Linked DNA regions of Saccharomyces cerevisiae S288C. The protein of the gene in region 1 interacts with the protein of each later gene in a biochemical or structural test. Each region holds a gene or a part of one and is shown in the gene's direction. Other genes may lie near its edges.

What was found.
Region 2: the proteins of RAD51 (region 1) and RAD54 form a complex in vitro, tested with the Saccharomyces cerevisiae proteins (13 studies listed by BioGRID, with this or other methods).
Region 3: the proteins of RAD51 (region 1) and RAD52 form a complex in vitro, tested with the Saccharomyces cerevisiae proteins (14 studies listed by BioGRID, with this or other methods).

The regions. Positions count from the first base shown.
Region 1 is NC_001137.3:348,390-351,693, forward strand, and holds RAD51 (recombinase RAD51), read left to right. Parts: upstream 1-1,590; coding exon 1,591-2,793; downstream 2,794-3,304. Other genes in the region: AIM11 (Aim11p), read right to left, coding at 1-11; PUP3 (proteasome core particle subunit beta 3), read right to left, coding at 340-957. UniProt on the Saccharomyces cerevisiae protein: Required both for recombination and for the repair of DNA damage caused by X-rays. Its function may be modulated by interaction with other repair proteins. RAD52 interacts directly with RAD51, via its C-terminus.
Region 2 is NC_001139.9:193,151-198,254, reverse strand, and holds RAD54 (DNA-dependent ATPase RAD54), read left to right. Parts: upstream 1-1,851; coding exon 1,852-4,548; downstream 4,549-5,104. Other genes in the region: SUT1 (Sut1p), read right to left, coding at 1-117; YRB30 (Yrb30p), read left to right, coding at 4,955-5,104. UniProt on the Saccharomyces cerevisiae protein: Plays an essential role in homologous recombination (HR) which is a major pathway for repairing DNA double-strand breaks (DSBs), single-stranded DNA (ssDNA) gaps, and stalled or collapsed replication forks.
Region 3 is NC_001145.3:211,959-215,471, reverse strand, and holds RAD52 (recombinase RAD52), read left to right. Parts: upstream 1-1,541; coding exon 1,542-2,957; downstream 2,958-3,513. Other genes in the region: NDC1 (Ndc1p), read right to left, coding at 1-1,283; SRC1 (Src1p), read right to left, coding at 3,317-3,513. UniProt on the Saccharomyces cerevisiae protein: Involved in DNA double-strand break (DSB) repair and recombination. Promotes the annealing of complementary single-stranded DNA and by stimulation of the RAD51 recombinase.

The DNA.
Region 1 (3,304 bases):
TCTTCGATCATAGTTTCGTTTCTTGATGAAGTAGGATAGTCGTACTAATTGCTGACAAACCCGTCAAAGAATCAAGTTCCCCATCCTAATAAGTATTAAAAGCGCCAATTTTTCAAGAGACTCGCGGCTGGTGAATAACGCTGCTCCTTAGAAAAGGACAGCCAGCGGATAGCTACTCAGATCTTCGACTGACTTTATGCATTTTAGTATTTATATATTCATTCGATCTATTCTGTTTACTTAAAAATTAAAGATGAGTTGGATGTGGAAAATTCTTGACGTTCCGCTGATATTTTGTGTTGGGGTTGTTTTTGGGACCATGAGATTGCCATGAACCGATCAATCTTGTCTCATCTTCAAGTATCTCTTCACCACTTCATCCTTCTTGATGATGTATACTACAGCTCCCCAGCCTGATAGAGCGTCACGGTCAGCAGCATTCAGTAGGGCCTGACTTATAGTTTCGAAAAGATCTTCTGGCTCTAGATTAGGTTCGTACAGGGACTCACACATACCGAACAGTTGGTCGGATGCAGTACCGCTAACGATAAAATCCTTGGCCTCGTCGATACAGCCGATTAGGTCGAATCCCGCAATAAAGGGCTTCCCGGACTTGGAATTAATACCTGCTACCACCGGCCCCACAAAGTATGGACCGAATCTTCTTTCATAAAGTGAACTTGACACTAATTGGGTAAACGTTTCAGGCTCAATGGCCCTTTCTTCCTTCAACTTATATAGGTTCGTCTTGTAGCGGAACATCTCGTTCAGAGTAGTCACGTCGGTAGCCAGACCGGTAATCCCTAAGAACACATGCCCATAGTGGAAGATTTTTTCAAACTTGTTCGACACACCTAGTGACTGGCTTCCGAGACGCAAATCACAGGCAATGGCCACACAGTCTTTACCTGTCATCGCAACGACGATACCACCGTTAATAGAACTTGGATCCGACATTTTTTTTTTATGCTTTATTCACTGTTCAATATTTTCACCACAATTCGCAAGAAACGCACTCTACTTCGAAACTACGGTTCAAACTTACTTAGCAGCTTCCCGATTTAATTGGCCTTTCTACTATGCCATAAACTCTTTCTTCCTCTCTTTTCATCGCCCCTGCATTTGCACTTTTTTGCCACCGGCAGTGCCATCCGGTCACATGACTACACCACGTTAATAGCGATCTGGCTTATCATTGTCACAGAGTAAATTAAAATGGACGGTAAATGTTGGAAATGCACCACTACCGTTCTTCAACCAATCTAGTTTAGCTATCCTGCAACAGGTGGCCTTCTTGAGCATTCCCTGAGCATTCCAACCGGTTGTATCAGTGTTTTATCACCGTCTCACCATATCCCACGACTAGGCCACACTTCGTTACCCTATGCTACGCGTCATTTCCGCTATTTCTGTCCTGGTTTGTTTACAGTACGCGTGGTGGGACCATAAAGGGGAATAGTGGGGACTGGAGAAAAAATTTTCTCAGTTACTTCTTCTATCTTCCGTAGTTTCCATATACTAGTAGTTGAGTGTAGCGACAAAGAGCAGACGTAGTTATTTGTTAAAGGCCTACTAATTTGTTATCGTCATATGTCTCAAGTTCAAGAACAACATATATCAGAGTCACAGCTTCAGTACGGGAACGGTTCGTTGATGTCCACTGTACCAGCAGACCTTTCACAGTCAGTCGTTGATGGAAACGGCAACGGTAGCAGCGAAGATATTGAGGCCACCAACGGCTCCGGCGATGGTGGCGGATTGCAGGAGCAAGCGGAAGCGCAAGGTGAAATGGAGGATGAAGCATACGATGAAGCTGCCTTAGGTTCGTTTGTGCCAATAGAAAAACTGCAAGTGAACGGGATTACTATGGCGGATGTGAAAAAACTAAGGGAGAGTGGGCTTCACACTGCTGAAGCGGTAGCATATGCTCCCAGAAAGGATTTATTGGAAATCAAAGGTATATCGGAAGCTAAGGCAGATAAGTTGCTAAACGAAGCGGCAAGGCTAGTGCCTATGGGATTTGTCACGGCTGCTGATTTTCATATGAGAAGATCGGAGCTGATTTGTTTGACAACGGGTTCTAAGAATTTGGACACTCTTTTGGGTGGTGGTGTGGAAACTGGTTCTATTACTGAGCTTTTCGGTGAATTCAGGACAGGTAAGTCCCAGCTATGTCACACTTTGGCCGTGACATGCCAAATTCCATTGGATATTGGTGGCGGTGAAGGTAAGTGTTTGTATATCGATACCGAAGGTACTTTCAGGCCGGTAAGATTGGTATCCATAGCTCAGCGGTTCGGATTAGACCCGGATGATGCTTTGAACAACGTTGCGTATGCAAGAGCCTATAACGCCGATCATCAGTTAAGACTTCTGGATGCTGCTGCCCAAATGATGAGCGAGTCTCGGTTTTCCTTGATTGTGGTCGATTCTGTTATGGCTCTATACCGTACGGATTTTTCTGGTCGTGGTGAACTAAGCGCAAGGCAAATGCATTTAGCCAAATTTATGCGTGCTTTGCAAAGGCTGGCCGACCAATTTGGTGTTGCAGTCGTCGTTACTAACCAAGTGGTCGCCCAAGTTGATGGTGGTATGGCTTTTAATCCAGATCCAAAGAAGCCTATCGGTGGTAATATTATGGCACATTCTTCCACCACGCGATTAGGTTTCAAAAAGGGTAAGGGATGTCAAAGATTATGCAAAGTTGTTGACTCACCTTGCTTACCAGAGGCTGAATGTGTGTTCGCGATCTATGAAGATGGTGTTGGTGACCCCAGAGAAGAAGACGAGTAGGTATTTGGTCTCTTGTCTCTATTTATTTACACAGGTTTACTTTCAATTCTCCTCTTTTTCTTAGGTTGCGTTCCGTACATTTTTATCTTCATTTCCATCCACTGTCTTAGATTTTTGCATATATTTTGTCATATACCTCGCAACCCTACTGCGGTCTTAACCTTTTTTTTCAGTTCTTTTAAATAACTTTCGTATTGTCTGTCACCCATGAAATATATGTATTTTTCTACTCTTCTTCCCGATGACTACTTCCTCCTGCAGGGTCCGCGCGGCTTTATCCTTTTAGGGGAGTGAAGAGAAAAATTTTCTGATATGTCGCCATCCTCTTATAAAACCAACGTAAAATACCATACACTTCTTTATGGCAATGAATTTCCTTGTCTTCGTTTCGACGTTTTTAAATTGAATAAAAAATTGTACTTGGAAAAAAGAATAGAACAATACTTTTGCTAACAGCAAGAGAAGTACGGTTGACATTACGAGTATCCCTTTGTTAAAATCAGGCAGTACC
Region 2 (5,104 bases), on another chromosome or scaffold:
GATGCCCACATTTTGGGTGCCTTTACGCCGTATATCTTTTTCTAGCAGGGAAACATTGGGGAGCAATAGCGGTGGTAGCGATCGATCTCTATTTCTTACTGTAATGCTTGTGGACATCTTCTTTTGACATACGATGACCTCAATGATTTAGATTATGTGTTGCACTTTTATAGACCTACCAAAAATCCAGTGCGTACACTAATACTTTCATAAAGATACCTGAAACAATAACCAGAAAGATCGGCAAAAAAATTTTTTTTCTTTGCCGAGATCACAAACCTACTATGACGAAAAAGCTTGAAGTTTAGATGAGTAAGGAAAATACAAGTGACGCTTTTATATGGTGCAAGGAACAAAAACTAAAAACAACAAGGCAAATGTGGATCTGTCATGTATGGCAACGACAGCAGGATGGCTCACAAAAAAAGACAAAAAAAACTAAGGCAAAAGAACAAAGCTCCTCTCCTGCTCAAGAAACGTATTGTTGAAAAACCACCGTCGTAAGAAAGTTTTTCTGTGACCTATAATGGTTTAAAATCGGCCCATTTTTTTTCCCTCTTTTGTGGTCCAGTCTTTCTCATACTCGAGGGAAATTCGACACAAACAGCGGAGAAGTGTGGCTAAACCGGCAAGTGCCTGCAAGATCCACAGAACTAACCGCACGAACTGGCGGTCAGAAAAGAGCCTGTTCCGGAAAGAGAGAAACAGAGAAACGATCATGATGGGAAAGCGGGGATTCGGCGAAGAACGAGACTGGAAAGGGAAAAAGAGAAATACTGGTGGAAGTATTCGGACCTTTGGCGAAGTCCGAACCCTTGAAACCCAAAGATGATCGATGATTCATTTTTCAATGCGCTACGGTTCCTGCCGCTCGTGGGAACCCCACGCAAAACATATTATTCGCTTCTCTCTGCTGACAACTCCGGTTTACGTTATACCGTATTAGGATCACTATAAGGGTTCCTTCGGGAGGAGGGGGGAGGGGAAGAATGTACATCGTCATAAGGCCTTTATGGTGTGAAGTGGGTTTTGCGTGGAAAATTCGTTTTCAATGATATAGAGCCCACGCATATACGTACATACTAGTGGCCAAAAGCGTGGGGTGGGCGGACAAAGCTACACTGGTAAAATACAGGATTCTATGAACAATAACAACAACCAGCTCACGTTGCTGAACAGCCGAGGTCAGCCGATGCAACCGAGGTTTCCAAAGTAGCATTTCTGTGCTAGCTATGTCTGTAGGTTTACATTTAATGGTGCGTGGTTCCAGCTTCATGTGCTTGCATGTGATGTCCTGCAGATGGTAAGAAGATTCTGAAAGCCGCGCTAGGAGAAAAATATTCTGCTCGAAGATCTGTCCTCTTAAGTAGAAAGCGTGAAATTGTTGCGTTCTTGCATTACTACTCAACGCGTACGCAAATGCGTCTACTGCACCTGCATGATAAAGCTTATGTATCAAAAATTTAACATCTTGAAAATACACAAGTGGTGCAAAGATGTGTCACGTTCTGGACCTGAGTGGTGCCATGTATGCTATTTAACATGCAAAGGGGAAGACCCTTCCGCCTTACTGCAATAATAAAAAGTATTTTACGCGTTACCCAATATAGCAAAGTTTCGCGCAAAAAAAAAAATAAAAAACAATTACAAACAAAAAGAAAAAAAAGGAAATAATAGAAGATCTAACTGAAGCGAAGGCCAAAACTCTTCTCACTTGACGTAATAGCCGATACAAAATCTAGAGCAGCAACTTTTCTCTTTCTTCACTAAAGCTGCTACGAAAGTATAGAAAAATCAAACGCTCAGAACTTAGCTCTATTTCAAGGTACCATATATATTTCCTTATAACTGATGGCAAGACGCAGATTACCAGACAGACCACCAAATGGAATAGGAGCCGGTGAACGGCCGAGACTGGTACCTAGGCCTATTAACGTACAAGACTCGGTGAACCGACTAACGAAACCGTTCAGGGTCCCGTACAAGAACACGCACATCCCGCCCGCTGCTGGTAGAATCGCCACCGGGTCTGATAATATCGTAGGAGGAAGGAGCTTGAGGAAAAGATCAGCGACTGTATGTTATTCCGGCTTGGATATAAATGCGGACGAAGCAGAGTACAACAGCCAAGACATAAGTTTTTCTCAGTTGACTAAACGACGGAAGGATGCTCTTAGTGCTCAAAGGTTGGCCAAGGATCCGACAAGACTGAGTCATATCCAGTACACTTTGAGAAGATCTTTCACTGTGCCAATCAAGGGATATGTACAAAGACACAGTCTGCCATTAACGTTAGGAATGAAAAAAAAAATTACTCCAGAACCTCGACCTCTACATGACCCTACAGACGAATTTGCCATAGTGCTTTATGACCCGTCCGTTGACGGTGAAATGATTGTCCATGACACATCTATGGATAACAAGGAAGAAGAATCAAAGAAAATGATCAAAAGCACACAGGAAAAGGATAATATTAACAAGGAAAAGAATAGCCAGGAAGAAAGACCCACACAAAGAATAGGACGCCATCCAGCTTTGATGACAAATGGTGTGAGAAACAAACCGTTACGTGAGCTACTCGGTGATTCGGAAAACTCTGCGGAAAACAAGAAGAAATTTGCTAGTGTCCCTGTGGTTATTGATCCAAAACTGGCCAAGATTTTAAGACCCCATCAAGTCGAAGGGGTGAGATTCTTATACCGTTGTGTCACAGGGCTTGTCATGAAAGATTACTTAGAAGCTGAGGCGTTCAACACTTCAAGCGAAGATCCCTTAAAGAGCGACGAGAAGGCACTTACTGAATCTCAAAAGACTGAACAAAACAATAGAGGGGCCTACGGCTGCATCATGGCCGATGAAATGGGGCTGGGTAAGACATTGCAGTGTATAGCACTTATGTGGACATTATTAAGACAGGGCCCGCAGGGTAAAAGACTTATCGACAAATGTATCATTGTTTGTCCATCTTCTTTAGTCAACAACTGGGCTAATGAATTGATAAAATGGTTGGGTCCCAATACTCTAACTCCGTTAGCGGTTGATGGGAAAAAATCTTCAATGGGTGGTGGTAATACAACAGTTTCGCAAGCTATTCATGCCTGGGCTCAGGCACAGGGAAGAAATATTGTTAAGCCCGTTTTAATCATATCGTATGAAACATTACGTCGAAATGTTGATCAATTGAAAAACTGCAATGTGGGTTTAATGCTGGCAGATGAAGGGCACCGTTTGAAAAACGGTGACTCTTTAACATTCACAGCTTTGGATAGCATCAGTTGTCCTAGAAGAGTTATATTATCTGGTACACCCATTCAAAACGATCTTTCCGAATATTTTGCTCTACTGAGTTTTTCGAATCCTGGCTTATTAGGTTCCAGAGCAGAATTTAGGAAAAATTTTGAGAATCCAATTTTGCGAGGGCGTGATGCTGATGCTACTGATAAAGAAATCACAAAGGGCGAGGCGCAATTACAGAAGCTATCTACCATTGTCTCCAAATTTATTATCCGTCGTACTAACGATATTTTGGCCAAATATTTGCCTTGCAAGTATGAGCACGTTATTTTCGTAAACTTGAAGCCGTTGCAGAACGAGCTCTACAATAAATTAATTAAGTCAAGAGAAGTGAAAAAAGTAGTAAAAGGTGTTGGTGGGTCTCAGCCCCTGAGGGCTATTGGTATTTTAAAGAAGCTATGTAATCACCCTAATCTCTTGAATTTTGAAGATGAATTTGACGATGAAGATGATTTGGAACTACCTGACGATTATAATATGCCGGGTTCAAAAGCCAGGGACGTACAAACAAAATATTCAGCTAAATTTTCCATTTTGGAAAGATTTCTCCATAAGATAAAGACCGAATCCGATGATAAGATTGTTTTGATCTCCAACTATACCCAAACCTTGGACCTCATTGAAAAAATGTGTAGATATAAGCACTACAGTGCTGTACGGTTGGATGGTACAATGTCAATTAACAAAAGACAAAAATTGGTGGATAGGTTCAACGATCCTGAAGGCCAAGAGTTCATCTTCCTCTTAAGTTCTAAAGCAGGTGGGTGTGGTATCAATTTGATTGGTGCAAATCGATTAATTTTGATGGATCCGGATTGGAATCCTGCTGCTGATCAACAAGCTTTGGCACGTGTTTGGAGAGACGGTCAAAAAAAGGATTGTTTCATTTACAGATTCATATCGACTGGTACCATAGAGGAAAAAATCTTTCAAAGACAATCTATGAAAATGAGTTTGAGTTCATGCGTGGTCGATGCGAAAGAAGACGTTGAAAGGTTGTTTAGTTCTGACAATTTAAGACAGTTGTTTCAAAAAAATGAGAATACGATATGTGAAACACACGAAACATACCATTGTAAACGTTGTAATGCTCAGGGTAAACAATTAAAGAGAGCCCCTGCAATGTTATATGGTGATGCGACAACTTGGAATCATTTGAACCATGACGCATTGGAAAAAACAAATGATCATCTACTAAAAAACGAGCATCATTACAATGATATCAGTTTTGCATTTCAATATATTTCACATTGATCTCTTACATACATGTACTTATAAAACAAAAACAAAAAGTAGAATTCGATCGTCGGGGGGTCATTACATATTTATTTTAAATGATGGGCATGGTTATATATATTTAGACGTAATAAACAATTGAAAATTGGGGCCAAATTGGTAAATATCTCTATGTATTTCAATCAAAAAAGTATAATCGTATAACTTAAGGGTAAAAAAAGTTGAGCGATGTCATATTATACTTGTGCTAGCTTTTAAATTTTTCATTATCTTCAGTTTTATCGTGGTAAAGTGCCAGCCGAAACTGCCAAAAAAGATTATGGCAAGAAAATCTCACGCTGTCAGGGAAATAAAAATCTGATACAGTTTCACACTCTCAGAAGGATTAACTTTAACTATTACCTAACACCAATATCTGAAGAGAATGGATGAAATTCTTGCCAAAGCAGGTTCACAAGCCGTTACATTTGCTATAAAATCCGGAATATCGATAGCATCCACATATGCGCTAAAGACAATAACGAACTTTGTCGTCCAGATTCCTAAGGATGATGCTAGAAGAATAGATCAACTG
Region 3 (3,513 bases), on another chromosome or scaffold:
TAATACGAGGACCTATGCCTTTTCTTGTTTCCGCGGTTAAGCAATACACTATCGTCAGTTCTTACCCTCAGCCTGTTTGGTGATTCATCTAATAAGCCGTTATCCCGTAATGGCGCCATCATAGAGGGTCGGTTCCCAAAGAGTCTTTCGTTGGCGCTTGTTAGTTTCCCGTTCTCATACATATAATCTAGATTTTCTACTTTTTTTTTATGTCTAGCAGTTGCAGAGCCCCCAAGATCTTGTACTGATCTTAGGTACTGCACAACCTTTTCATTGTTTATCTGAATGGTCTTCAAGCATTCATTGAGGATTAATGACCAAGTATTACCACTACTGCTTCTGAACTTGGAGTGATATATTGGTGCTCGCAATGATGGATCCAGTGAAGTGGCCCTATACGCTAGTTCCTGGTAGGCAGTCAACCTAGTAAATGGCTTGTCTGCAGAAAGCCCACTAAGCAGGGTTTCCATCGGCGTCGACGACAAATTCGAAATTAGCTTGCCCTTGTGCAGACAACCTATGGACATATGTGCGTCAAATGCTATATTTATGAATTCGAAAGTGATGAAGATAATGCAGGAGATTATTAGTAAATTTGTGACAGCTAGCACGCCATTCGTAAATGAATCAAATAATCCCGATTTTTGCCTGGAAAAAAATACTGTGGTAAAGATTGGTAATACGAACATGCTGATTACACTTAGAATGACTGACTTCTCCATAATCCTCTTGACACGCTCTAATACGTAGTCTTGTGGGGCCTGGAAAAAGTTTTCGCAGTTGAACGACAATTTGTCAGCGTCAGTGACATGATGTTGTAGGTTGTAAATCGTGGGAACGACTAGCCAAATAAACAGCTTATAGTATGGCTTCCATCCAGATCCGCCACGTCCGAAAACCACACCCAGTACGAATGATAAAAGGATGCTGCCCATGCTATAGACTCCCTGGTATACAAGAAACTTTACTGATAACAATTGGCCTAGAATGAAAGTAAGTGAATTAGCGAACCCAAAATTCTTTACATGCATGTAATTTTTTCTTGTCACAATGATCAAAAGGGAAACTAGGTTAAGAGCTAAAATATTGGGAATAAATGCCAATGCCAGTTCCCATAACGGTGAGTGTGGCAACGCCAGCAGTGAAATCACCACAGTTTGGATAATAGAACATATGAAAAACAACCTCGTAACTAAATGGTTGAATCGGGTCTTGCACACGTCGCTAAAGATGGTATGGTACGTGTACCGTGGATTCAACAACTCCCTTGGCGTCTGTATCATCTGCTTGCCCTGTAATGTCCTTTCGTCTTCTCAATCACACTTACTCATCGCCAAAGAGTCTGCTCTTCCCGTTAGTGATTCTCGATGTTATTATATTCTTTAGTCTGTTAAGAAAAGACGAAAAATATAGCGGCGGGCGGGTTACGCGACCGGTATCGAATGGCGTTTTTAAGCTATTTTGCCACTGAGAATCAACAAATGCAAACAAGGAGGTTGCCAAGAACTGCTGAAGGTTCTGGTGGCTTTGGTGTGTTGTTGATGAATGAAATTATGGATATGGATGAGAAGAAGCCCGTTTTCGGTAACCATTCCGAGGACATACAGACCAAATTGGACAAGAAATTAGGACCTGAGTATATCTCCAAGAGAGTTGGGTTTGGAACAAGCAGGATTGCATACATCGAAGGTTGGAGAGTAATTAATCTTGCTAATCAAATCTTTGGATATAATGGCTGGTCTACGGAGGTAAAAAGTGTAGTTATCGATTTTTTGGATGAGCGACAGGGAAAGTTTAGCATAGGGTGTACTGCAATTGTTCGTGTTACGTTGACTAGCGGGACTTATAGGGAAGATATTGGGTATGGTACCGTGGAGAACGAAAGACGGAAACCTGCCGCTTTCGAAAGGGCCAAGAAATCTGCCGTTACGGATGCCTTGAAAAGATCTTTGAGAGGGTTTGGTAATGCTCTAGGAAATTGTCTTTACGATAAAGATTTTCTGGCAAAGATCGATAAGGTGAAGTTCGATCCGCCAGATTTTGACGAAAACAATTTGTTTAGGCCAACGGATGAAATCAGCGAAAGCTCAAGAACGAATACTTTGCATGAAAATCAAGAACAACAACAATACCCGAATAAAAGAAGGCAATTGACTAAAGTTACAAATACCAATCCCGACTCGACGAAGAACCTGGTGAAAATAGAAAATACAGTAAGTCGAGGTACCCCAATGATGGCCGCACCTGCTGAGGCTAACAGTAAAAACAGCAGTAATAAAGATACTGATCTCAAATCTCTCGATGCTTCCAAACAGGATCAAGATGACCTTCTCGATGATTCTCTTATGTTTAGCGATGATTTTCAAGACGACGACTTGATAAATATGGGCAACACAAACAGTAATGTTTTAACGACAGAGAAGGATCCCGTTGTAGCTAAGCAAAGCCCAACTGCTAGCTCAAACCCAGAGGCAGAACAAATCACCTTTGTTACAGCTAAGGCTGCAACTTCCGTACAAAATGAACGTTATATTGGTGAAGAGAGCATTTTTGATCCCAAATACCAGGCACAATCCATTAGGCACACCGTTGATCAGACTACGTCCAAGCATATTCCAGCGAGTGTGCTAAAAGACAAAACGATGACCACCGCGAGGGATTCTGTCTATGAAAAATTTGCACCAAAGGGAAAACAATTGAGCATGAAGAACAATGATAAAGAACTGGGGCCTCATATGCTAGAAGGGGCTGGGAATCAAGTACCGCGTGAAACCACACCAATTAAAACGAACGCTACAGCTTTTCCGCCTGCAGCTGCTCCACGGTTTGCGCCGCCTTCTAAGGTAGTACATCCTAATGGAAATGGTGCAGTGCCAGCCGTTCCGCAACAAAGATCGACACGAAGAGAAGTTGGAAGACCAAAGATCAATCCCCTGCATGCACGCAAGCCTACTTGAAACGCTTCCTGGCCGAAACAAATAAAAAATTTGCATCATTATTTATTACTCCAAAATCCTCTAGTTACTCTTTCAATTCTGATTTTATTTGTATTTCTTCCTATATCGTCTAGTTTTTCTTTCCTCCATGTGTCGTATTAATATTTACTTTAAATCGAATAAAAAATTCTTATTATTTTACAAGTCATTTTCAGGATTAGATTCATTATAACTTTACAAAAGTATTACATAAAGAATTATATAACAGATATTAGGATAACCGTATAAATAGAATAAACTATACAAATATGGCAACTCGGAAAAACAATAGATCATTAAGTTTGAGAAGAGAAAACTACGTTTGAGTTTCATTTTGTGGGTTATATTTTGTTTTCAGCGGAATCCTTAGGTTCATTGAGTTCCATCGGACCTATCCATTCCCAACATTTCATTATTTCACCTCGAATTTCAGTTAAGTTCGATTTAATATTACTGTTATTATGCTCTAAATATTTTACCACTTCTGACCATAATTGATTTTTGTATTTCAGATCGACAATATCAGAAAGAAAGATGT